Linked DNA regions of Coturnix japonica. The protein of the gene in region 1 interacts with the protein of each later gene in a biochemical or structural test. Links are inferred from orthologs where the notes say so. Each region holds a gene or a part of one and is shown in the gene's direction. Other genes may lie near its edges.

Region 1 (5,684 bases):
GACAAGGGAAAATGGCTCTCAGCTGGAAGAGAGCAAATTTAGACCAGATATCAGGAAGAAATTCTTTACTGTGAGGATTGTGAGACACTGGCACAGGTTGCCCAGTGAGGCTGTGGGTGCCCCCTATCTCAAGGTGTTCAAGGCCAGGCTGGATGGGGCTGTGAGCAACCTGGTCTAGAGGGAGGTGTCCCTGCCTATAGCAGGGGGTTGGAGTGAGGTGACCTTAAGGGTCCTTTCCAACCCAAACTATTCTATGATTCATTCTATGATTCTGTTTCACACATCCCAGCATCAGCATTCCCTATCATTTCCCAAAAAAAATCCCCAGCAGATTTGTTGTTTAATGTTCTTCAGTCCCAGGAAAAAATCACATTCAGCTTTCTGTGTGGGAAGACAGTAACGATCTTCCCAGTATCTTATCCTCCCTTTAAAACATCCTGTTTTGGATGACTGTGTCATTTCCTTTCCCAAGACAGCTAATCACTTCCTCCTGGTTCTCTGATTATGCACTGGAGATCAATTGAATGATAAAATAATTAAGTGTCTTTGTTTTACCCTTTAATTAGATTACTTGGAAGTAATAACAATGTCTTGCCAACCTTGAAGGTTTTGTTCAGTTAGCAGGAATTAATTGATATTTTCCTACTGATATTTTCCTAAATCCCCAACCAAAGAAATCAATACTGATTTTAAAGGTGGTTAGAAGTATGCACGCTCTACCACCACACTATGTCTATGTTCACAAGTGAAAACAACTGATTATAAGGCAGCACGAAAAATAATCTCTTCTTAAAGATGATAATTTCAAAATAAGTTTGATCTTAAATTATAACTCATTCTCTGCAGCAATGATCCAGTTAAAACAAATTCCAGGAGACTTGTTTTTAAGAAGACTTGCTCTATAGATGTTTACAAAGTACTTTGAAATGCAGTCATAAAGAAAATGCTGTGAAAATGAAATATTCGTACACCTCTAAATCAGCAGCTGCACAAAACCTTAAGGCAGGCAGAAGTGTTAAGCCGTTATTAAAGATTTAAAGTAGCTTAGCAGCTAATCGAAATTGATGACATCTGATGACTACTCAACAGTCACTGTATGATATTTGCTTGGGGCTGTGTCTAGCCCAGAACAGGTAATTGTTCACACCATCAGAATTGCTTCCATGGTCACCATGGTCCCTTCAGTACCAGGACTGCCTTTTTGTTGTCGACACAGTGAAGTCCAAAATGAATGTGGATAAAATCTCAAGAAACTCAACAAAGATAAATGGTCCAAGATCTGCCTCTGGAAGGGAGCAGCCCCAATTCAACAGGACACACTGGGGGCAAGTGCTTGGAACACAGTTTGGTGGAGGAGGTGCTGGGGTCGCTTCTGCCACTGAATTAAATTCATCTGCATTTGCTACCTCAGTCTGGTGTTAAGTCATTATTCGGTGTTGGTGTAGCAGCTCATATAAAGGCTGTGATTTGTAACAGGGAAAATTCTGAAAGAGTTTGAATGGGATGATTTCACAACATTCATCTTGTCCTGGAAGCAGAAAATCATCAGTGGTGTGTGCACCCGGAATGCATTCTTTATGGATGTTACAGGTAACACTGGTGGAACTTGACTTGAAGCATCAAAAGCTGGAAAATAGAAAAAGAGATTAGGGTTGTTGATGCTGAAAAAACATTTTTAGCCCCAGTGCAAGTTACAAATGGAGGAAAAATATTGATAACAGAGAATTTACATGGTGTATCTGAAAAGTGATACTGAATGTCATTAATCCACATCTGCCTTAGCAGATGTGATGCAAACAGGGCGCTGGGTGCTGTCCTGCTGGGGAAAGCAGCCAGAGCTGCGTGCTGGCCTGGGCTTCACCTGCAGAGATGCTGCCTTAGTTGTGCTGTGTGAGCTGCCCTGTGTCCGTCGCTGTGTGTGACCCGCCGATCACTTCGGCCGCGCACCCGACAACCCACCCCGCCGGGCGACACCGCGGGGCGCACTGAGCATGCGCGGAGCATGGCGCGGCGCACGCTGGGAGTTGTAGTCACCTCCACCCCGTGGCGGCTCCGGCGACTCCGCGCGTGCGCAGATTGCGCCCGACTTTGGAAAGTCGCTGCCTCGGGTTGGGTCGGAGCGGCTGCCATCTTGGCCGAGGGACGGAGGAGCTGAACGGCGCCGTGCGCGGTGAGGGGAGCGGGCTCTGCAGCACGGGCAGGGCAGGAGGGAGGAGGAGGACGAGGACGAGGAGGAGGACGAGGAGGCGGGGGGTGGCGGCGGGGATGGGAGCTCCAGGGGCAGCGCTGCGGCTCCGCCGATCTCCTCGGCTCTGGGCGGGGGGCGCGGGGACCCCGCGGTTGTAGGCCCGGCCGCCTGAGGGGCTCCGGCCCCACGGAGCTTCACCGAGCGGCCTCGGCGCGCCGCGCTGTCCCCTCCCCGCCGGGCCGAGCCGGGGGCCCGGCCGCAGCCGGCGGTATCGCTCCGTGCCTGCGGCGGCGGTCCCGGGACCTCTGGCCTGTGTGTGGGGCTGCACGGCTCCTGCACGAGCCCACATCCCCCGGCCCCGCTGTTCCCCGGCAGCGCGTGTCGCCGCCCCGCTCGGCCTCCGCCATCCTGCCCGGGCTCCCGGGAGCCGGGACCGGTCACTTGGCCCTTTCGGCGCTCCGGGATCGCTCCCGGCCCAGGCGCTGCTTCTCAGCGGCAGTTCCGCAACACGGCCCCTTCCCTTTGTATTCAGCCCCGTCCTGTCTGTCTCTCGGGGTCTCGGCCGGGGGAGGCTGCTGTGTGGAGTTCTTTGCTTTGTTCCTGTGGGATAACAGCTGTGCCATGAAGCAGCGTTTCCCAGCACGAGTGTGGTTGGAGGTGTGTGTTCCCTCTTGCTGTTGCCGCCGCTTTATTTTGGAAACACGGCCGAGTTCTGGCTGTTAACTCTCCTGCTTCCTCACAGGGGTCTGTGACCTTGTGTGGCAATAACAACCAAGCACGAGTGGAAGGTGCCGTCTGAGGGTGTGAACGCCTTTATTAGATTGGCTCTGAAATCCAGGAGTTCAGCTTGTTGCGATAGGTGTAATCTGTGATGTTAAACTGATAAACAAGCTTAGCATCTATGTATGTGGGGAGAGAAAACCGAGTGTAGCAGTTGGGCCATCTGTTGTCATTTGCGTGGCATTCTTTACCCTTGAAGCTTCGGAAGATGTTCCCAGAGAAGTTAATCTTTATAGCTCAGGTAGGATAGAAAGGATCACAAACAGTTCTCTTTGTGAAACATTCTTTTTCTCAGTGTTCCTCATTGCTCTTTGTTTTAATCTCTGCCCCTTTACCCTCATCCTTTTGGCAGAGGAAGGAGGAGAAATGTGAACTGGGATTCCTGAGAAGACAATTAGTATCGAGAGCCAGTTGGCTGGCAGTTGGTCCAGCTACTGCTTGAATTGACCCGAACAAGTTATGCATAAAGAAGAATGAAACATCGGCTGCAATCTGTCATTAGCTCAGTGGGTTTTATTGCCTTTCAGACATCTTGTTTGAAGAACAAATTTTAATTCTTTCTTCTTCTAGTGAAAGTCCAAAGCAGTTCTAATTTAATTACAGTTATATTACTCTTTGCTACAGCCATTTGAATCCGAACTTGGTCTACTGTGCGTTCTTAGTTGTGGTTTGACTGACAGCTTTAATCACTGCTCTGGATACGTTCACCTCCAAGTGATCATCAGAGCAATATGCGGCATTCTAACCTGGAGTGAGTTTTCTTGTATTAAAACAAAGAACTGATGCCGTATGTGTAAGAGGTGACGTTGCAGTGGAAAATAACTGAGACTTCTGAGTGCTAACTTTGAAAGCTTCTTACAGATTAAACAGTTATTTTGGGTCTTAAGAGAGATCGAGAGATTATTCGTATGAATTTATAAGTTAACAGACATCGCCTCGTTTTCTTCACTCTATTTTTGTTCCTGTTGTAAAGTTAAGGGTGTTTTATGTGTGTGTGTGATGAGCCATTTCCTGAAATACAGAGTTGTTTGGTTTCTTTGGTTGGACGTTTCAAAACAGCTTGTGAGAGTGAACTGCAGAGCTGAGCAGCAGGTGGGAGGGCAGGTATTAGAGCAGCGAGGTGCTTCTCTTGGAGGCTTTGTTTCTCATTGTTTCTAAGAAAACTTGCATTAGGGCTGCTTGAAAACAGTGTTAAGTGAGGCTGAAAAAATGTTTGCATCTGCAGGAGTTAGATAATTTAATGGCATTATCGGTATCAGTCAGTGACAGAGTCTACAGAAACATCTGTAAATGCGAGAGATATATAAACAAAGTAGTAAACATACTCAACCCTGTTAAAATGCTTTCTGTATTGCAGCAAAAGCAATACAGTTTGTCCTAAAAAATAAAGGAAAAGATGTCAGTGGGGTTAAAGCAGGAGGGGAGCGCAATGCTGGAGCTTCTGGGTGCGCTGTCACTGATGCTGCTCGTTGTTAAGCCTTTCTGTTTGGCAGTCCAGTTGTGTTCATTTAATGTTCTAATTTCTGTCATTCTGTGTGTAAGTGGAGGAACTCCTTTGAGCCCTCACAGCTAAGGAGCGTGAATGTGCAGGTATGTCTTGGAGCAGAGCACTTGCCTGGGTCGATTTCAGTAACTGTTCTTTGTTGTGCTGTAGGTGAGCTTTGAAGTGAGGGCTCACCTCAGAAGAGGAAGCAGACAAGCCGGGATTACAGTCTTGCTTGGGAGGATTGTTTGGCTTATTTTACTTTTTACTGCCTCCCAAATTAAGTATTTTTAATGATTTTAGGCCATCAGCTTGTTTGTGTTTTTGTGCTGTGGAATGGCTGTCACCAGAGCTAATTCTATGCCTGCCTTCTGGAGAGGGAATGGTAGTTTCTCTTCATGCCTTTTGTATGAGAAAAATAGCAATAAGGACCTGAGTGTTGTGTAAGTGATTGGCTTCCAGCTTTTACTTCATCGGGCAGAGTTGTGCAGCTGAGGGATTGATCTTTTTCTTCATCAGAATTGCAAATTACACTTTATAGAAATGAAAATAATGCGACAGACAGGGAAAGAGCATTTTAAAGTAACCAAGGCCCTGTTTCTTAGGGCCCCCTTTTAAGTTATGCCTGGAATTTCTGCTTTAACTATAGTGGGACATAGAACAAACTTCCTGATAAACATCAAGGATTTTCCCCCCTCTGAGGAAACACGATCTGAGATGTTGTTACGCTGGTTATTCAAATCTTTTGTCCTTTAAAATGAACCAAACCCAACAGTACAACCCGGCGCTATGTTAGTGTGCTATTCCCTTTTAAAAAACATTTTATGCCAGTCCTCCCATTTAGGAACTGATAACGCCTGCCTTCCGCCCACCTGCCTGAGCTATTCTAAACTGCTCCTGGAAGGTGCCTATTGTTTCAGTGCAAAGCAGCAGTACTTACATGTTTGCATTTAGATCTGTGATTCTGAAGTTCGGAGCTTAGATTTAAATAGTGGTGTCACTGAGCAGAAGAGGCCTATTTGCTTCAGGTGGATCATTGAAGTATTGCTGTGTGAAACACTGTTTCTTGTTGAAAAGGGGGAATGCTAAGTGGCATCGTTTCTGGAGCTGTGCTGATCTCAGGTATTAGGCTGGGTGGGTTACGATACAGAACCTGGGACTCTTAAGAGAAGGTGGTTGAGCTCTGTAAAATCTTTGTTCTCTGTGCTTACTTTTATTTATAGATGTAGGTTT
Region 2 (5,971 bases), on another chromosome or scaffold:
CATCTTCTTTGAGGCCAGCTCTGTAATGGCAGACAATGCAGGCTTTACATGAACAACATTCTGCCACCATTTTCTCTCAGCCTGCCAGTTGCAGCCTGCTCACAGACTGAGCTATTACAGCGGAGAGCTTCAGAGGCTTCATTTGATCCATTAACTCATGCAAACATTTGTCTTCAGGTTTTCCTTAGGCGAATCATTTACTGCTATGAAGACAGCAAGTAAGAACTAAGTTTTAATGTCTTGATTATTCCTTGTTTAAACAAGTCTAGCTTTAACAAACCCCCTCCTCCCCCCCCAGCTTTATAGTTTAGAGTTCAATACTGTTACAAAGCATAGATTAAAAGTGCCCTCTGTTGTTCAGTCATACATTGTAATCAAAGTAACACTTGTGGAGCTTAAGGGTTTCAGGGGACTCTCCATACTGAAGCCCTCTAACATTTTCAATTGCTTTCAAACACTTCCACAGCATATCCCATATCCTACGCGGAGGTCACTGACAAGCAATGACTTCAAGCTTCAGAGCATCTCCTGGGAGAAAAGACATTTTGTATTGGAAGAAGGTTTAGAAAACACAGAGGTATGAAGTGATTTGCCTAAAACCATGCAGGAAATGAAAGCAGAACCAGTCATGTGCTGTAACCACAGAATCATCTGAGCTGCTGTCCCTCATACAATAAGACAAATACCCCGAGAGCAGCTGGAAGAAATTGCTGTCAGCTCCCCGTGTCAGCCGTGCTCAGGCTAGTTAGCCTAATTAGGTGCTGATATGCTTCCAGCTAATGACTGGCACAAACTGTTTCACCATCTCTTTGGGATACTGTCCAGCATCTTTGCTGAGGTTATGCACAGGTTGTGTCTGGTTTTAGTCTTTCAGATGTCCAAGTCAATCAGCATAAAGCTAATTACCACTGTGGCTGTAGCTATACTTAGGGATATAATCCTACCTCAACAGCAAATCCGCGTACATCATCAGGGCAGCTTCTTACTGCAAAGAAGATTCTCAGTGCAAACTGTGGATCTTGTAGAAAGGGGGAATGAACACTGTGACAGCGCCTTCAGCTCTCACTCCAACTCCTTCAGAGCTATTTTTCTTACAATAAACTTGCATTCTCCTTGTGCCTACAGCATTTCTCGGGAGCCTCTTTTGGAGGTTCTTCTTGGCTAAAGTCCTTTGCAATTCCTGCCTGTCCCTTAGCAGGATACCTGCAATGTTTACCCAACTCTTTAGGGCTTGGGTGAACTATGCAGTCCTATGAGGAACACAGAGCAGATCCCAGGCTAGGCATGGTACTGAACGGAGAGCTGTAATCACACAGTTATGACAGAGTTTGTATTGAATTCTTTCTCTGAATTGACAGCTCAGAATCCCATTAGGGCTGATTCAGCCCTCCTCATCCTAAAGCAGATATAGTTAAGTCTTATCAACCTTAGGGACTGATGTGGATGGTTTTGCACAAGCCCAGCTGTAGATGAACTGCACAAGCACAAAACAAGGGTTAGACAAGCTGGAAAACCCCTCAACCTGTATAACACCAAATGCAAAATAACTCAGAATAAACAAGTGTATAACCCAGTGTGATTTCTGATGAGTGCTTGCTCCGGAAGGCTTTGGGTCTGCAGCACCATCTGCTTGATGTGGATATTCAGGATTTCACAGCACCTCCTGAGCAGTTGGCCAGCATTTCAGGGTTGCTTTGGCTGCAATGCTTTGTGTGTGTGCTGGGAGCAGGTAACATCAGGTCTGGAACTGATGTTAACAGACAGGGTGGTACAGCCCTGGAACAGGGCATGGTGATGGCATCGGGGCTGCTGAGCTCAGGAAGTTTGGACAGTGCTCTCAGACACGGGGTTCGGTTTCGGGTGTCCCTGTGTGGACCCAGGGGGTGATCTCAGCGATCCTTGTGGGTCTCTTCCAACTCTCAGCTCTGTGATTCTGTGACCAGCTCCAGGGCAGTGGCAGTCCGCACATCCCGGTCCCACCCTGCTATGAAGGCGGCACCCACTTCCATCCAGCACGGGGTACCATGAGTTTTCGGATTGCTAGTGTTAAATCCCCCCTGCACAGCACCCCCGGCACCCCCAGGCCCAGCAGCCCGCCCCGGTGCTCTCGGGCCCGAGGCCTCCGGCTGCCGGCGGGGCGGGGCGGGGCGGGGCGGGGGGAGGGCGCGACCGAGCGTGACGGGCAGAGGGAGGGCGGGAGCGGAGCCGCAAGCGAAGAGGCCTCGGCTGCGCGGCCTCCGCCTCAGCAGCTTCCGTCGGGAGGCGGCCGGGCAGCGCCGAGCCCCCGCCGCCCGCTCAGCCCTCTCCCTCACAGCGCCATGGCGGCCGCCGAGCCCAGCAGCGGCCGCTACCAGCAGGTGAGGGGCGGAGGGGGCTCCGTAGGCCGCGCGGGAGCGGGGGGGGGTCCGTTCGGAGGCCGCGGGGCCTCGGCACCCATCCGGGCTGTGGAGGCCGCGGGACGCTGCGGGACGGGGGTCGGCGGGGCGAGGCGCGGGCACGGCCGGGCTGCAGGCGGAGGAGCCCCGCCCCTCCCCGGGGCCGCGCGGTGGCACAGCGGTGACCTTGCCGGGATGCCGCCCTTCCTTCTGCCGTGCTGCGGGTGGCCGGCTCCGCGCCGATTGTTCCCAGCAGCGAACTCGTGCTGTGTCGTGTTGAAACGAGCCTTAATTTAGTTTCGTGCGTTCAGCGCGGTGCTCTCTGGCTCGGGTTGAAATCCCCCTAGGCCGGGTTGTGTGCCTGCAGAGCTCCCAGGTGCGCGTTCTTCCTTCCCGGCCTCCCGAAGGACAGGAACCCAGCCCAGCCCCCGAGCAGCAGCGGGCGGTGTGAGCCCGGCCCTGTGCTCTCTCCCTCACTGCTAACGGTGAGGGAGAGAAATTCCCCATAAGCGTGGGCTGCTGTTGGTGCTCCCCGGGGGTACCGCTGTGCTGCGGCTTTGTTGTGGTGGCAGTTTGGTGGCTGTGTGCTCTACTCACAATGCCAGGTGCAGCTTCTCTTAGGACAAAGTGTTGGTCTCATCCTTGTCGCTGGATGTCACTGGTTTTGACACGCCAGGTTTGTAAAAGTTGAGTAAATCTTGCAGTTTTTTCCCTGTGAAACACAAATGTTTTCACTCATGAAGACCAATCTATTTCTTTGTTGTTCTTCTCAGCCACGCTGGCTACAAATAAGCAGGTTTCTTTGCTAATTGACTGCCTGTCAGCCCTGAGAATCCTCCTCATAAATGTTCTTTACAAAGGGATCTGGTTTTGTGTCCTGCCGTCTTGAGCACATGAAGATATGTGACAGCAATCACTGAAGGCTGCTCCCACCTTGTTCTTGGTGGCACTCCAGGCCCGACTGATAAGAACAACACTGATTCCCTTAGAGAGAAATATGGGAAGCTGTCATTTCACCAGGTCTCACTCGCACGTGGGGCAGACACATAACAGACACTGTTAGTGCTGCAGAGCGCAGCACTGCGTGGTACAGCAGAGATTAGAGAGGCAGTCTGTGCCCCAGAGGATTCGTTCTGCTAAAGATGAGGTCCTGGGGAAAGACGGCTGTAATTGAGTGCAGGATGAGAAACATACAGATGGAATTACTTTGGGCTGCTTAAAAGTTGCTTTCCCCCCCCTTGCCCTCTGTCAGAACTCTGGTATCTGTGTTGTTGTAAAGCACGTTATTGGTTTCTCATGCTTGCACTGCTCTGGAAAATCCCTGCGAGCTGTGAAACTGGAGATACAGAGCTCGTGTTTAGATGGAGGCGAGATGGGAGGGTGGGAGAACCTCTCCAACATGAACATGTCAAGGTTTTTAGATACTGCTGTCCATCTAACAAATGCAATTTCTGCCAGTGGAGTGTCTAAAGAATTGGTAGCCTATCTCTATTGGTAGCTCCTATCCGTAAGGGCTGGAGTTGGATGCAGGATCTGTAAGTGTAGGCATTATTTGGAAATTACCAATACTCCCATTTAATCTTTGAAGTTATTGGAGTATGAAGCAGTGAAATAGAACTGAACATTCTAAATCTCGAGAACATTTTTTTTTTTTTGGGGGGGTGATGTGTCATTGGGGGCTGCCCCATAACTGGGCAGCTGCTCTGCTCCTGAATGTGCTGCCCTGTCTGCGTGGCACTTTGACATCCATCCCCATGGGGGTTTTATGCACGGAGCTGTGTGTGTGGGAACAGTGTGAGGGGTGGGATCCCCTGTGTGTGTGCTGTCAAACAGAAGAAGGGGTACTGAGCACAGAGGACAACAGAAATAAATAAGCAGCTGAGTTCAAAACCCGCGTGTTTCTTCCTTGCGGGCCCATGTGGGCGCATGGGCTGTGCATCCCCCAGCAGCCTGTTCCACCACCTGTGTCTGTTTCTCTGTGTGTGCTATGTTAAAGGGGTGCTTATGGCACGTGATTTGTTTTCTATAATCTTCAGCCCTCGTGCTTTATTCAGGCATTAGGTAATCTAACAGAAAATAGCTTGCGATGATGCTTCTGAACGCTATGGCGGTTTGGCTGAACGCACTGAGGAATCACAAATGGAGCTAAGGCAAAACCCATGGAGGGATGTGTGCCCTGCTGTGCTGGGGGTGGTGGGGCGGCTGGTTCTGTCCCTCGGTGCAGGCTGTGAGAGGCAGGATGTGGTGCTGGGGAGCAGGGCAGGCTGCAGCATGCAGCAGTCCGTGTCCCAGAAGGACTGGGGATGATGCCATTGCTGCTTGGACTTGCTTTTGGGAAGGCTATGCAGGATGTTGCTGGGTTTAGGTGGCCTAAATCCTTTGGAGCGCATCCCCTGGGCTGGGAGCTCAGTGTCAGAGCTGTATCTTGTGCTTAGAGCTGAAAGTAGCCTCTGTTCTGGAAAAAATACTTAGGCTTTTAATAGGTTTATTTACATTCTGTGTTAACTGCTTTTTACTGGAAGCATTTGAAGATATATGTGATGTATATGAGTAATGTAAACCCACCTAGAAAATGGTGGGTGTGTTAAATAATACAAACAGATTCCTTTTTAAGTGGTATTTCTTCCAGTTCCACTTGTTGAAGGCTGACATGGATCATGAATCATTCCGTTATGGGAGGCGTCTATGGGAAATGTAAAGAAGAAAGATTTCTCCGTTTGTTTGGTTTCCTTTTGGTGGAACTGCAGAAGAAATGTGCTGCCTGAGATAGGAGAGTGAGGACATTTGGAACCCACAGAGCACTGCAGTGCTTGTGTTCTGCCTGGAAAGGCTGAGATGAGATAGGAAAGGAGACATCAGTTACCAGCTTGTGCTCGCATTAAGCTCGTCTTTAATTTTTCAGTTGCAGTGGGTGTGCAGAATATCCCATATCTTGTAACGTTAGCAGATAGAATTAGTGATGTCGGTGGCTTTTCATTTCTTTGGTGAGCCGTTTGGTGCTTGCAGAAGATGTGCTGCCTGAAGATACCTGCAATTGGTAAGAATGGTAGGGAGATAAAGAAAGGGCAGGTTGTTTTCTTTTCTCTTTTGTGCACCCAGATGAGAACGGTGGTGTCCTTTGACATAAGAACAGTAGGGGCTTACAGAACTAAGTCACAGAGTTTTCCCACCCCACTGGTCGTGTTGCTCTGCACCTGGTGAGAGCTGGGATTTGGGGTGAAGCTGTGCTGCCTCTGTGCAACATGGCACTGATTCCATCTGGCTCTTGGTAGATAGATACTGATTTGTTCTGAAACAGCAGCTTCTGCAGGCAGCTGTACTTCTCAGGTGGGTTTGGAAGGTTTTGGTGATTCTGTGTAACAATGTAGTTATAGAATTAAAATAAATTCATTCTGTAAAGGTTAAAGGACTTGGAACAGACAGTGCTACAGCTGCAGTCCAGCATCATTGCAAAGCTTGTGTGACAGTAGAACACAGCCTTGCAGGCAAATGTCTGTTTTGACTATTATCTCAGGTATCAGGATTGTGCTGGGCTTAGTTGGGCTGAATTCTATCTGTGATGCATTAATGTCCAGAAGAATGGTAATACGGTCCTA
Region 3 (5,832 bases), on another chromosome or scaffold:
GCAAGATGCCTCTCCCAGGTGTTAGATCAGACTGCGTTACCAATTATTTGGGGTTTAAACTGGAATGATTAGGAGACGTGCATTATACCAGCCCTGGATCTCTGATGTTTGTTTGCTGTGAGCACCACGTGTGGTGAGTTCAGATAAGCAGCACTTTGCAATTTAAACAGCCTTTCCCTGCTCCTTTGAGTTGTGTTTTTTGCTGTCACACAGTGTTCCTCTCTTTAATTAGACGTTTAAAATACGCAGTTACTATCGAACCTCTTACAGTGTGTGGAGACACCATAACAGAATAAAATGATGGCGATAGAGGCTCTGATCCACCATTAAACATTACCACTGCAGTTGTCCTGTTATCTATTCTCTGCTTGTTTTCTTTCTGTGTCCTGTGCATCCGGCAGGGAATAACAGAAGTTTTCTTTTCCAAGTGTGTCTGCAGGGTTTGTGCCAATCACCCATTTATTTCCCTATTGCTCGATTACAAAAGAAACGGAAGAATCCTGGAATCCAACAACAATATTGACAGCGCTGGGGAGGTTCCAAGCAATGAATTGTTTCAGTTCTTTCTGTCTCCCTTCGACTTCTGTCCTTGGCTTGGAAATAACAAAGTTGAAGAGATGAGATGTTTTTTTCCCTCGATGATTTAATCTGTATACATGAAGTTCTGGAGCTTCCCATGCACGCCAGCACTTCCTGACATGAAGGCTGAGTTTCTTAATACCAAACGTCAGCCAGAGCTATGAGAAGAGCATTACTGGGGGCACTGTTAGCTCAGGGAGCATTGGGGGAAGCTGTGTATGTGTGCTACTGACTTTAATAGGAGAGGAATTGGGGCTGTTGGTTATGAGCATTTCTTAAAAGGGAAACTTGCAGCTTATTGAAAAAGCGGATACAAAAGGCACAAAGCTGTGCTTTTCTTGCCAAGAACTGTACGCTTTATGTCTCTGAGTTGATTTCAGTCTGGTTTCCATTATGGAGCTTTCAGTTTCCTCGCTGCCCCTGGGGATTTGCAGGCACTGGAGGAGGGGCTGGGCTGCAAACCCTGCAGGGAAAGCTCAAATCCATACAAAAAAAAAGGTGTAATTTAGCCTCATATCACCTCTTAAAACATATTCACACATTATGCTGAGGGTTGATACGAGGAGTCCTTCAAAACATGTCATTCTGCAGCGGTTTTAATGCAGTTATGCAGGTGTTATGATTGTTTTAGGAGTCAGCTCCAGTTGGAGGCAGTGGGTTATACCCAAACTGTAGCTGTGCCAATAGTGCAGGTATTTTCCTGTCCCCGGATTTCCTCTCGCCCACAGAGCAGCTTTCTTTGTCTATGGGGTGACTTTTTGGCCCCTCCAGTTTAACCCTCAGTGGGTTAATTGTAGGAACCCAGGTGTCTGGGACACAAAATGGGCACTGAAACAGCCTGGAAAGTGGGGGGGAACCTTTGCTTTTAAAGGGGTTGAGCCTCATTTAGTGCACAGTATAACCAGATTAATGGCGTTTTCATTGTGAGCAATGAAAACGTGCAAAGTGCAGCCAAAGATAAAGTCCTGGAAGGGGAAAATAAAAGGGAATTGGAATGCAGTCAGGGCACTGGGCAAACCGTGCTTTGTTTGTGTGAGCTCTGTGGTACTATCTAAAATAGGAAGCTGGCAGAAGAGCTGCCAAGTCACGCAGGCTGCAAAGAACTGAGCTCATTTTATTATATATGGTCAGAGGGAGCAGAATGGGGTGATTGATGGGATGGGAAATGGGTTATCCCAAAAAGGAGCCCGGCTCTTTGGGTTGTGTATAGCAAAGTCAATATGATCTCAGCAGCTGGCTGGAGCTCGGGGAATTAATAGCAGCGTTAATTGGTGGCACTGCTCCTCGGGGACGGCAGACGAGGCTGAGTGAAGCGGTGAGATTTGGGGCAGAAAATAACCCTTAAGGAGCGACCTACACCACCCCAAAAAACCAACATGGCTGCCGAGCGAGAGGACTACAACTCCCAGCATGCCCGGGGAACACCACCCCCTCGAGACTACAAATCCCAGAGCGCACCGCGCGCCCAGCGGGCTCTTCTTCGCGCAGGCGCAGTGCGAGCTCGGCTCTGTGAGGCGGAGGCGGCGCTGAACATGGCGCTGAACAGGAACCACTCGGAGGGCGGCGGCGTCATCGTTAACAACAGCGAGAGGTGAGCGGTCAGGGGCCCAGCCCTCTTCTCTCTCCTTCTCCGAGCCCCTTTCCGTCCAAAATGGCCTTTTCCTGCGGGTCATATGGGGCTGAGGGGCTCTAACACCCGCCCCCCCCCCCCCCCCCCGCCATGTTGGGGTTAACCCTTGGTGTGCCCTATGTGGCTCATTAACCCTTGTTTAACCCTATGTGGCTCATTGCCGTCATATAGGCCCTGGTTCGTGGCCCAGGTGCCCTTCTGTACGACTGGGGATGGTAATAGGTCTAAATGTGCTGTGCACACCATTAGGGCCTGGTTTACCTGACGTGGATGTTGTCATATTAAGACAATACTACCTGCATCCATATGGATGTGTTTTATTGGTCTTAATCAGGCTGGTTTCTGATTGAGGCTTAAGGAGTCAGTGTGGGGTTATAGGAGTGAGAAGAGGAATGATCCCAATCACGTTATAGTGACTGAGATGGATTCTTGTGACCTCTGGTCGCCTCATTGCATAACCCAGGCTGAGGGGTTCCTGCTAAGCAGCCCTACCTGTGTTGTGTTGCTTGTGGTGAAGCAATTTAGGGAAATGATCGGGCAGAAATTCAACATAATGCAAGAAATACATTGAGAACTTGAGTTTAATTGACTGGATTCACCAGCCGGCTGTGCAAACAGCTGTATCAGCTCACTGAAGAAGGAACACGAGGCTGAGAGCAAGCAGAAGTGCAAGGCAGAGTGAGCATGTGTGCTGGGTGCTGGGCTGAGGTTAAGGCAGTTCTGGTAAGTCAGTGAACTCTACGTGCTGGAATCTGCCCCAAGCTCTAACACTGTGCCTCTTCTCATCTTGTTTGCAGCGTTCTGATGACCTATGATCATGTAGAAATGACCTTCAGTGATGCTGAACCGATGCCTGAGGCGTTCAAAGGGACCAAGAAAGGGAGTGTTTTCTTGACTCCCTACCGAGTAAGTAGTAAAAGGCATTAGAAAGAGATCAGAGTTCTTCATGGCTCTGCACTTCTACACGTGCATGAAGGTCTGGATAATGTACCCGTCCTCCCCTTGTGGGGAGCACTGTGGCTTCATTGCATGTCCTGCCTATTTGGCAAAAGATAATCAATCTGATTAGTTGTCAACCATGACATTAGTTCTTACCTGGGCAGCTGTTTTAGTCCACCAGGCATCTTCAAGATTGGAAATGAGCGATGGTTTGGAAATGCGGAATGGAGCAGTTCAGCTACTAAATCACAGCTGTGAGTTCTCTAGGAACTGGGAGGAGTGTTATCTGAGCAAGTGTGTAATCCTTCTGGAAGGCTTTATGGCCTTGAGGCATCATTTTACCCTTGTGACAGTTCTGAGAACCCTGGGGCTTGCAGAAATTACAAGGATCTTTGAGTGTGGGAGGCAGATTCAGTCCACCAGCAATGTCCACAGATAATAAACCGGGGCAGTGTTTCCTGTTCATTTTAAACACCCTTTGTAATGTTGTTTCTTTTTCAGGTTATCTTTATATCGAAGGGAAAGGATGCTCTGCAGTCTTTTGGGATGGCCTTTTATTTGTTGAAAGATTGTGAGATTAAGCAGCCTGTCTTTGGAGCAAACTATATCAAGGGTACAGTGAAAGCAGAGGCAGGAGGTACGTATAGCACTGATACAAAGCTGAGCTAAGATGCAGAACTTCTATAGTTCCTAGTAAAGTAATTATTCATTGTAATGTGAAGTGGATACTGGATGCATAGGTTCTTTCAGTATTGCTAAAATGTGTTTTTCTCTTTGAAACCAGCGGCTGAAAATATTCCCCCCTGTCAGCTCTGTGCAGTTACAGTGAACAGATTAGCTGTGTAACTGATCTCATTCCTGCCCTCTGTATGAAATTCAGAGTTCAGGCAGCCGAGTGATCTCACTGAGTAAACATCAGAGCAGGGATCAGGCTGTGACAGCAGCACTGAGGGCGTTGCTTGGCCTTGGTCAGTTCAGCCTCTCTCTTATTTATGCATCCAGATCCTTCTGTGCCAAACACTCGCGGTCTGTTCTGGATCTGTACGGATTTCGAGGTGTGAATCTCCAACATCCGTTTATTGTGCAGTTTAGGAAAAGCACTGCTGTATTGTTTGGAAGATGATGGATTACCTTGAGCTTAGGGAATGTTCAAGGGCAGCTTTATAATATGTTCAATGAGGAGTTGTGGTAGACTTCTTTTTTCCTAAGAGATACTTTTATCACTGTCCTATGCTTCTACTTCTTACCAAGGCACTTATTTCATCCAGAGCCTGATTTATTCCCTTAGCTGTGGCACTGCAACACAGTGCACTGCTCAGAGGGCTTCAGCCTATTACCCTGAAATCAGCCTTGTAGCTTTTCTATGGCAGCAAAACAAGACCATCCAGTGTGAGAGGAGAGCTGAGCACTAAGGACAAACACTAAACTGTGTGAAAGGCAAACTGCTTTAACAAAATCTCTGTGAGTCCCCCCCCAGAGGCTGGCTTAGTTAATGAGGATGTTGCTGCAACAGCCAGAGGAGTCTGGCTTAGCTCAAAAGGCTCTTTTATCTCTGTATCCCTGTTTCATTACTGACACAGCTACTGCTTTGATGCATTGTTGGCACTCTGGGCTGTGCGTGGTTTTCTTTTTTAGCCTGTAATAAGAGAAGTGGCTAATTCGTTTTTATTTTTTAATTATTATTATCCTGACTTGAAATATTTTCTATGAACTCTAATGGATTTATGCGATACTTGTTTTTTTCATTAAGCTCTTTGCTTCACTGGGCGCTCAGACTCCCAAACTAATTTGCAGTGGGCAGTTAGGTGTAGTTACAAAACCCTTCTAGCAAATGGGATTAACAGAATCCCTGTCTTCTGCACTAATCAAGTACAAAGCTAGAGTAAATTCAGCCCTCCTGATAGCTTGAGCTATTGGCAGCCTGTGTGATAGGCACAACTTCAGCAAGCTTTTGAATGTCTCCCTTACTGATGGTCCTATTATTCAGGTATCTCTTGATCAGAAAATGTTGTCCAATGTGGAATTTTCTGATACAAAAGGGAATTCTGCTGCTCTCTCTGCAGGTTTTTCTTGGATATTTGGGATAAGCTCTTTAAAAAAATATAGGGCCTCTGTAGGTGAAGCACAGAAGCTAAATAGCATCAAAATGGCTTCTCTTTCTTTGTGAATTCTGTTTTCTCTCCCTGCAGGCGGCTGGGAAGGATCTGCCACCTTCAAGATGACCTTTACAGCTGGGGGTGCTATAGAGTTTGGGCAGCGTATGCTACAGGTGGCATCCCAAGGTAGGGGAGCTTAATGCTCTCTGCTCTTTGCTTTTGTGGTTTCAGGAGGCCTTGCCTTAATTTTACAGCAAGGGTAGTTTTAAGCTGGGATGGGTTCAATTCCAGTGTACGTGAATTTCAGGCTGTATCTGGAACTTTCTTGCCTTAAAACAACACCTTTTTCACGTCCAGCAAGCTGTGGGTTTGTTAGCTTTGGACCTTGCTTGATTTTTTCTGTTTTGCTTTCTTTGGTTTTCAGATAAGGCCTCTTTAAGTTTGTTGTAGGTCTTGGCTTCTGTTCTCTGCAAGCTTGGTGTTTTACTGAAGTGACCTTATCTTTCCTTCTCCAGCCTCCAGAGGTGAAGTCCCCAGCGGAGCTTATGGCTACTCCTATATGCCGAATGGATCCTATGCTTTTGCACC
Region 4 (5,954 bases), on another chromosome or scaffold:
GAAGTTGCCATTTAAAATGTCTTCTTGCTGATTCCAGCATGTCAAATTAGAGGAACGCTGCTGAACGTGTCTCAGGGAGCTGTGTCTGTCTTACCATCAGCTTCCTGCTTGTGCCAAGGAGCTGAAGAAGAGGAGCAGATGTTGCTAACAGTGTGAATCCAGACTGAAGATCCTCCCATGAACAGCAGCTCTGCCCAGTGTAATCTGTGACTTGTGAGCGAGGGACTGAGAGAGAAAGTCAAATAAAAGATAGTCAAGCAAAGCAAGATGCTGGTAGAATAAAGGAATCCAGGTCATCTATGCTTGCTTAAACCATATCCTTCCTCTTCCAGCCCACAGTCTTTTATGTTCCTCACAAGGAAATCATACATAAGCCATGGGAGACTTTCCCTCTTAAGGAAGGTGACTGCCAATGAGTGACCTCATGGTGAAATTCAGGATTATTTTGATTACGTTGTAATAGAAATAGAGTTCTTTTATGTAACCTTTCAGTCTGCAGTGCTGTAGTTAGGTCCTCTATTAATAGCACTGTCAGAAACGTGTGCTCATGCCTGAATTGACTCAGGTACAGAAAGTTGAGTGAATTTAGTGCTGGCTTAACTGGCATTGAGAACAGAGCCTACCTTGTATTCCTGCAACAGAAATACCACCCTGAATAATGTCACTTCCCATCAACACGCCTGAATTCCAATCTGGGTGACTGTCTCTTAGCATATCAAGTTTACAAAATGAACTTGCACATGATAGCTTTCTATGTTTAAATGGGTAGGTTGCTTTTATAAGATTGAGCGAGCCTGACTGAAGCAATAACAAAATATAAACAAATAAATACATTTGGGAATTGGAGTTAACCTACAGCAGGAAGGACTTCCACAAAGACCTCCTTTGGCTACAAACACCATTTATAAGATGAATTTCAGTAATGCTGCGGGATGTCTTTTTTCATCCTAGTTTAATCATTGAAGAGGACACGGATTTAATCAGAATTGCCGGAATGCCTGAGAATGGCTTTGTGATTAATTGTTGGAGTGCAGTAATGAAACGCTCGAACTATAACCGGAATTACAACAAGGGGAGAAGATTCCAGCATTGCCAGTAAAGCATCTCGTCTATCCTGGGTTTCTCACTCTTGTTGCAAAGCCAAGTTTGATGTTCACATAGGAATTCCTCGTGGTCGAAAACAATGAAGAGTGTTACTTTCGAGCAGGATAAATCCTTTTTAGCAGCTCCTTACAACAGAGCGGGGAGTTTCCCAGTTTCCGATGATGATAACTGCTCACCAATCGGCCAGAAACTGCATTTCTTTAACAATTTAGTCGTAAAATCGGTAAAATTAGAGACTCCAGCGGGGGGTACCGCGTTCACCTCATGGTACCAGGCGGGCACTCACTGAGGTGGCGTTCAGACACCGTTGCCACCTTATAGCAGCCCGTGCTGCCCCCACAGAGCCCCACAGAGCCCACAGAGCCACCCACAGCCCCACAGAACCCCACAGACCCCATAGAGCCCCACAGAGCCCCATAGACCCCATAGACCCCATAGAGCCCCATAGAGCCCCATAGACCCCATAGAGCCCCATAGACCCCATAGAGCCCCATAGACCCCATAGAGCCCCATAGAACCCCATAGAGCCACCCACAGCCCCACAGACCCCATAGACCCCACAGACCCCACAGACCCCATAGACCCCACAGACCCCATAGACCCCACAGACCCCATAGACCCCACAGAACCCCACAGAGCCACCCACAGACCCCACAGAGCCCCTCAGAGCCCCACAGCGCAGCAATCCCGCACAGCGAGCAACTCTCCATCAGCCAGCACTGCTTCCCCCAGCCAAATAATAACCACGGCTCCCTCTGGGCGTGGGAGATGGCTTCGAACGAGGACAAAACGCTGTTTTTTGTTACGTTACGGCTCTTTATGTCACAGCAGCCTTAGAATCAACTAAGGTTGGCAAAGAACGCTTAAACACATCCATCACTGAGGAAAAGCCGTGAGTGAACTGAAGGCTGCTGCCCTCAGGAGACCCGCTGCCCTCAGCGAAACGGATGGCGGCCTGGCTTCTCCTCGCCCCGCCTCCACACACACACAGCTCAGCCGCCACTCCTAAGATGGCGGCGCGGAAGGGCCTGTAGCTGCTCGAAGTGCGTCTGCGCAGAGCGGAGTGCAGGAGGAGGAGGAGGAGCAGGGCGGCACGGAGCCACGGCCGCGCGCCCCTGGCAGGGACCCTGCGTGCTGTGGCGGCGGTGCGGGCGGGCTGAGGGGGCCACTCGCAGCCGCCTCGGGCTCTGGGAGCACCGGGAGCCGCGCCGTCCTCGGGACTCATTCCGAGGATAGAAAGGGAGAGAATGACGGAGCTCCAGTCCGCCTTGTTACTGCGGAGACAGCTAGCAGGTACCGGCGGATGGAGAGAGGAGACGGGAGAACGGAGTCTGAGGGCAGGACGGGTCGTGAGGGGGAGGAGGGGGACGGCGGGGAGCGGGGCGGCTGTGAGGGGGAAGGGGAGGCGGCGGCCTAACCAGCACCAACCCCCCCTGAGCTCAGTGCCCGGCCCGGGGCTGAGGGAACTAGGCCGGGGGGGGAGGGGGAGCGTGGCAGCGCGGCCGGGGGGAGGGGAGGGGAGTAGGGGAGGGGAGCGGGGCCGGCTCGGTACGGAGCGGGCTGTGGGGGCTGCGCTTCCACCGCCGTTCCCGTCCCGGCAGCGGCTCCGCTCGGGCCTCCGCGGCCTCTTGTCCCCTCGCTGGGCCTCGCCGTGGGGGTGCATTGCGGGGAGGGCCGCGCGGTGTTGTCAGAAGCGGAGGTGGGAGTTGTATGGCGGCTCTATATATAATATATAACACATATATATTTTTCCCTTCGATTTTTATTATCCTCCCCCTCCTCGCGTCCAGAAGCGGCGCCTCAGGGCTGAGCTCGCCGCGGGGACCTGAGCTGCCCCCGTCCCGCCCCCCGCTCCGTGCCCGTGAGGAAGGAAGGGCCGCTGCCCCCTTTGTTGTGAGCGCAGTGGGGCGAGGAGCGGCCCGTGGTGCTGCGGGCCGGCAGCCCATAGCGGCGGCTCCCCCTCCCTTTGTGTCCCGGGCGGCCCCGCGCTGCTCCGTGTGCCCGGGCTGCGGCCGCGGTGGGGTCCTGGCTCGGCCCGGCGGCGCCGCGCATGCGCTGGTTGTCGGGGCGCACAATGCAGCTCCATGTGTCGCTCGCTGCCAGATTTAAAGAGACACGGAGCCGGCGGAGCAGGGAGGGGGTTGAACGCTCCCTCCCCCATCGCACGTGTGTGCTCCGAACCGCCCCTGAGCAACGCCGGCACCTCGGGCAGCTCCGCTGGCTGCTGTGCGCCTTACGTAAAAATGAGTTGCTCCATAGCCAGATAAGGAAATGCTCGCTAGGTGTACCTAAAGCCGGGCAAATAGAGCTCTGTAGCGCTTCGGAGGGACGGGTCACAGCCGTGCGGGGGGTCCCTGCGGGAGGGATGCGGCCCCCGGTGGCTTTAGGGCTCTGCTCACTGCGGAGTTGCATAACAGAGTGCGGGAGCTGCATGGCGCTGAGTGATGGGAGCGAGGTGGAGCTGAGGCCCGGCCAAGCAGCGGGGCACGGTGGGCTAAAACTTATTGAAGGTGATTTTTGTAAATAAAAAGATTTCCTCCACGCGGTGTGATCGTGTCAGTGGGCCCAGCAGGCGTTACGGCATTCCTGAACATCTGCTGGGGCATCTACTTGTTCACATAAGCAGTTATCAATATATATAGGCTTAAACCAGGAGCTCCAAAAATTCTTGCTTCTGCAACAGTTCTCTCTTCTGTAAGTGATCACACTGGGAGGAGATGGTGTTGAGGCTGCTCTTTAGCTTCATACAAACAAGCGTTTGGTGACCTGAGACGGTCTGGAATTTGTGTGTTAATTAAATAATTGTACACCGTGAAAGGAAGTTCCCAACTTGAGCTGAGTGTCAAAGGGACCATCAAGAAACTTTCAGACCGCCTGTGTTGTGTAGTTCTTTATGACCTGCCCTCTGAATGAAGGTTGGTTGGATGTGCTGCTGGACTTGCAGGCTCTTAGACTGACTGAAGCCCTCAGTCTTTCTGCTCTCTCTCTTCTGAGAGCTTCACGTGCCGTGTAAAAGCAGTGAACCCTTCCAGTTGCCTTATTACTGATACTGAGTCAACTGGGCACTGCGGCCATTTGCATGTAACGTGCAGCCCCTTTGTGAGGCCTTTGGGTTTTAAGTACCATCAGTACTTTTTTTTTCCTACATCTACTTAGAGATATTAAAATATATAAATAATATATACATAAATTATACAGAAATGTGCATATACTTTTATGTAATTTTTGTGCTTCTGTGCATAGAAAGTGGTTGAGTGTATGCACTGAAGTGTGTGGGGAGTCTGAAATTCTTCAGGAGCTCAGCCTGGAGTAGTTACTGACCTGGAAAGGGAAATATGTTGTTTCTTCCATATTTGATAATCTCTGCTGTATCTGAATGGAGCTGAAGCAAGGCCCTGAACTGCTTTTTCTAATGGCAGGCTGCTTGAAGGTGCAGTGCAGAGACTGAGCCTTGTGAGGTCTCACCTTCCCCCCCGCTGCTGTTTTCTCCCAGCTCTCATCTGCTCCAGTGTATCCCTCATTGTACCCACGCTGTTTTACCTGCCTCAAAACTAAAACCAATGCTGAGGGTTTTTTTCTTACTGAATGGGACTGATATTTCAGTCCTAATGCTGCATGCAGCTTTGGGTTGTGTATTGAGTGTGGTGAGTGATTGGGTTGTACTTAATGGTTGGGTTTTGGAGGGCAGCAAAGTGGAGATGAGTTACGTCATCTGAACTCATTTAAACTGGTCGAGGTCACTCCTTTATCAGTGTTGTTCAAACTGTGAGAGATCTGAAGTCAGGGCTGTTATTTGGTGTGGAGGGAGGATAACTGGACCTGAGGCCCTTATGGTTGCAGAAGAGTTGAGGAACATAGGGTGTGTGTTTTTGTTGTTGGCTTTTTTTAATGCTAAGTAGGGTCAACGTCTGCAGATGGAATAATGATCCATATCGCCACAGGGTTGATATAACTGGCTTATACCTACATGTGCTTGCCCCCAGCGAGGCACGAGAGCAGTTCAAATCAGTGTAGTCAGAATGTGGGTTAGATTGGCTGGTTGTTTTCCTTCAGTGTTTTAAAGGAAATACTGAGTGGGGATCTCCAGCCATTGAGGGCAGTGCTGGAGCTGAGCGGAGGCTTAGAGCTGGAGGGAGGCCCTCCTGCATAGATAGTTATCAGTGAAGCCAAATAGTTGCTTTTCAGATCAACCTGACTGTAAGCTTCAGCAGCTTCTGGAGTTATCTTAAAATGCAGAAGAGGTATTTGTTCATACAGGTGTATGGTTGGTTGTGTTTTATTGTTGTTTGTGGTGTGAGGCTTTTTGCCTTTTCTTTTCTTTGAAAAACATGTTTGGGTAATAGTGAGACATTGTGTTGCCTCTGCCCAGTTATTCTTATGGGTAAGAGATGGGGGGGGAAAAAAAAGGTAAATGAAATCCCTCTGAACTTCCAATGGGTGGAATAAACCCAGCAGCATTGAATGTGTAGCACTGGGTCAGCAGAACTATGGCACCAGGAGGTCGGTGTAGGAGCTGTGTGGGTAAAATGTGTTCTTCCTACAGCCTGAGAACTTTGTGTTCTTTAACAGCTGATTGGTACAACAGAATGTAAAGCTCTTCTGCTCTCCAGAGCTGTCAAGCCTGAGGGTTTTGAAGGCTGAGGTACTTCTCTAAATGCTTTTATTTAATCTTCCTGCCGAATCCTCCTTGACGTGGACTTGTTAGAGTGGGCAGACTTGTCTAGTTCACCCGGCAAAAGCACACAGGGAGGATGTAGTTAAATCACAGCGTATTGTGGAACCAGAAGTGCGACTCATCTCTGACACAAACATGGTTCACTGGAAATAGGAATAACCGAGCTCTGCTGTGT

What was found.
Region 2: the proteins of ITCH (region 1) and NDFIP1 form a complex in vitro, tested with the Homo sapiens proteins (2 studies listed by BioGRID). The link is inferred for Coturnix japonica from reciprocal best matches to the Homo sapiens genes ITCH and NDFIP1.
Region 3: the proteins of ITCH (region 1) and WBP2 form a complex in vitro, tested with the Homo sapiens proteins (2 studies listed by BioGRID). The link is inferred for Coturnix japonica from reciprocal best matches to the Homo sapiens genes ITCH and WBP2.
Region 4: the proteins of ITCH (region 1) and UBE2G1 form a complex in vitro, tested with the Homo sapiens proteins (2 studies listed by BioGRID). The link is inferred for Coturnix japonica from reciprocal best matches to the Homo sapiens genes ITCH and UBE2G1.

Annotation. Positions count from the first base shown.
Region 1 is NC_029535.1:1,378,696-1,384,379, reverse strand, and holds the start of ITCH (E3 ubiquitin-protein ligase Itchy homolog), read left to right. Parts: upstream 1-2,054; 5' UTR 2,055-2,170; intron 2,171-5,684. UniProt on the Homo sapiens protein: Acts as an Acts as an E3 ubiquitin-protein ligase which accepts ubiquitin from an E2 ubiquitin-conjugating enzyme in the form of a thioester and then directly transfers the ubiquitin to targeted substrates.
Region 2 is NC_029528.1:1,053,953-1,059,923, reverse strand, and holds the start of NDFIP1 (NEDD4 family-interacting protein 1), read left to right. Parts: upstream 1-2,174; 5' UTR 2,175-2,318; coding exon 2,319-2,357; intron 2,358-5,971. UniProt on the Homo sapiens protein: Activates HECT domain-containing E3 ubiquitin-protein ligases, including NEDD4 and ITCH, and consequently modulates the stability of their targets. As a result, controls many cellular processes.
Region 3 is NC_029533.1:4,035,043-4,040,874, forward strand, and holds the start of WBP2 (WW domain-binding protein 2), read left to right. Parts: upstream 1-2,035; 5' UTR 2,036-2,111; coding exon 2,112-2,170; intron 2,171-3,006; coding exon 3,007-3,115; intron 3,116-3,649; coding exon 3,650-3,785; intron 3,786-5,337; coding exon 5,338-5,430; intron 5,431-5,759; coding exon 5,760-5,832. UniProt on the Homo sapiens protein: Acts as a transcriptional coactivator of estrogen and progesterone receptors (ESR1 and PGR) upon hormone activation. In presence of estrogen, binds to ESR1-responsive promoters. Synergizes with YAP1 to enhance PGR activity.
Region 4 is NC_029534.1:2,221,576-2,227,529, forward strand, and holds the start of UBE2G1 (ubiquitin-conjugating enzyme E2 G1), read left to right. Parts: upstream 1-2,157; 5' UTR 2,158-2,351; coding exon 2,352-2,397; intron 2,398-5,954. UniProt on the Homo sapiens protein: Accepts ubiquitin from the E1 complex and catalyzes its covalent attachment to other proteins. In vitro catalyzes 'Lys-48'-, as well as 'Lys-63'-linked polyubiquitination. May be involved in degradation of muscle-specific proteins.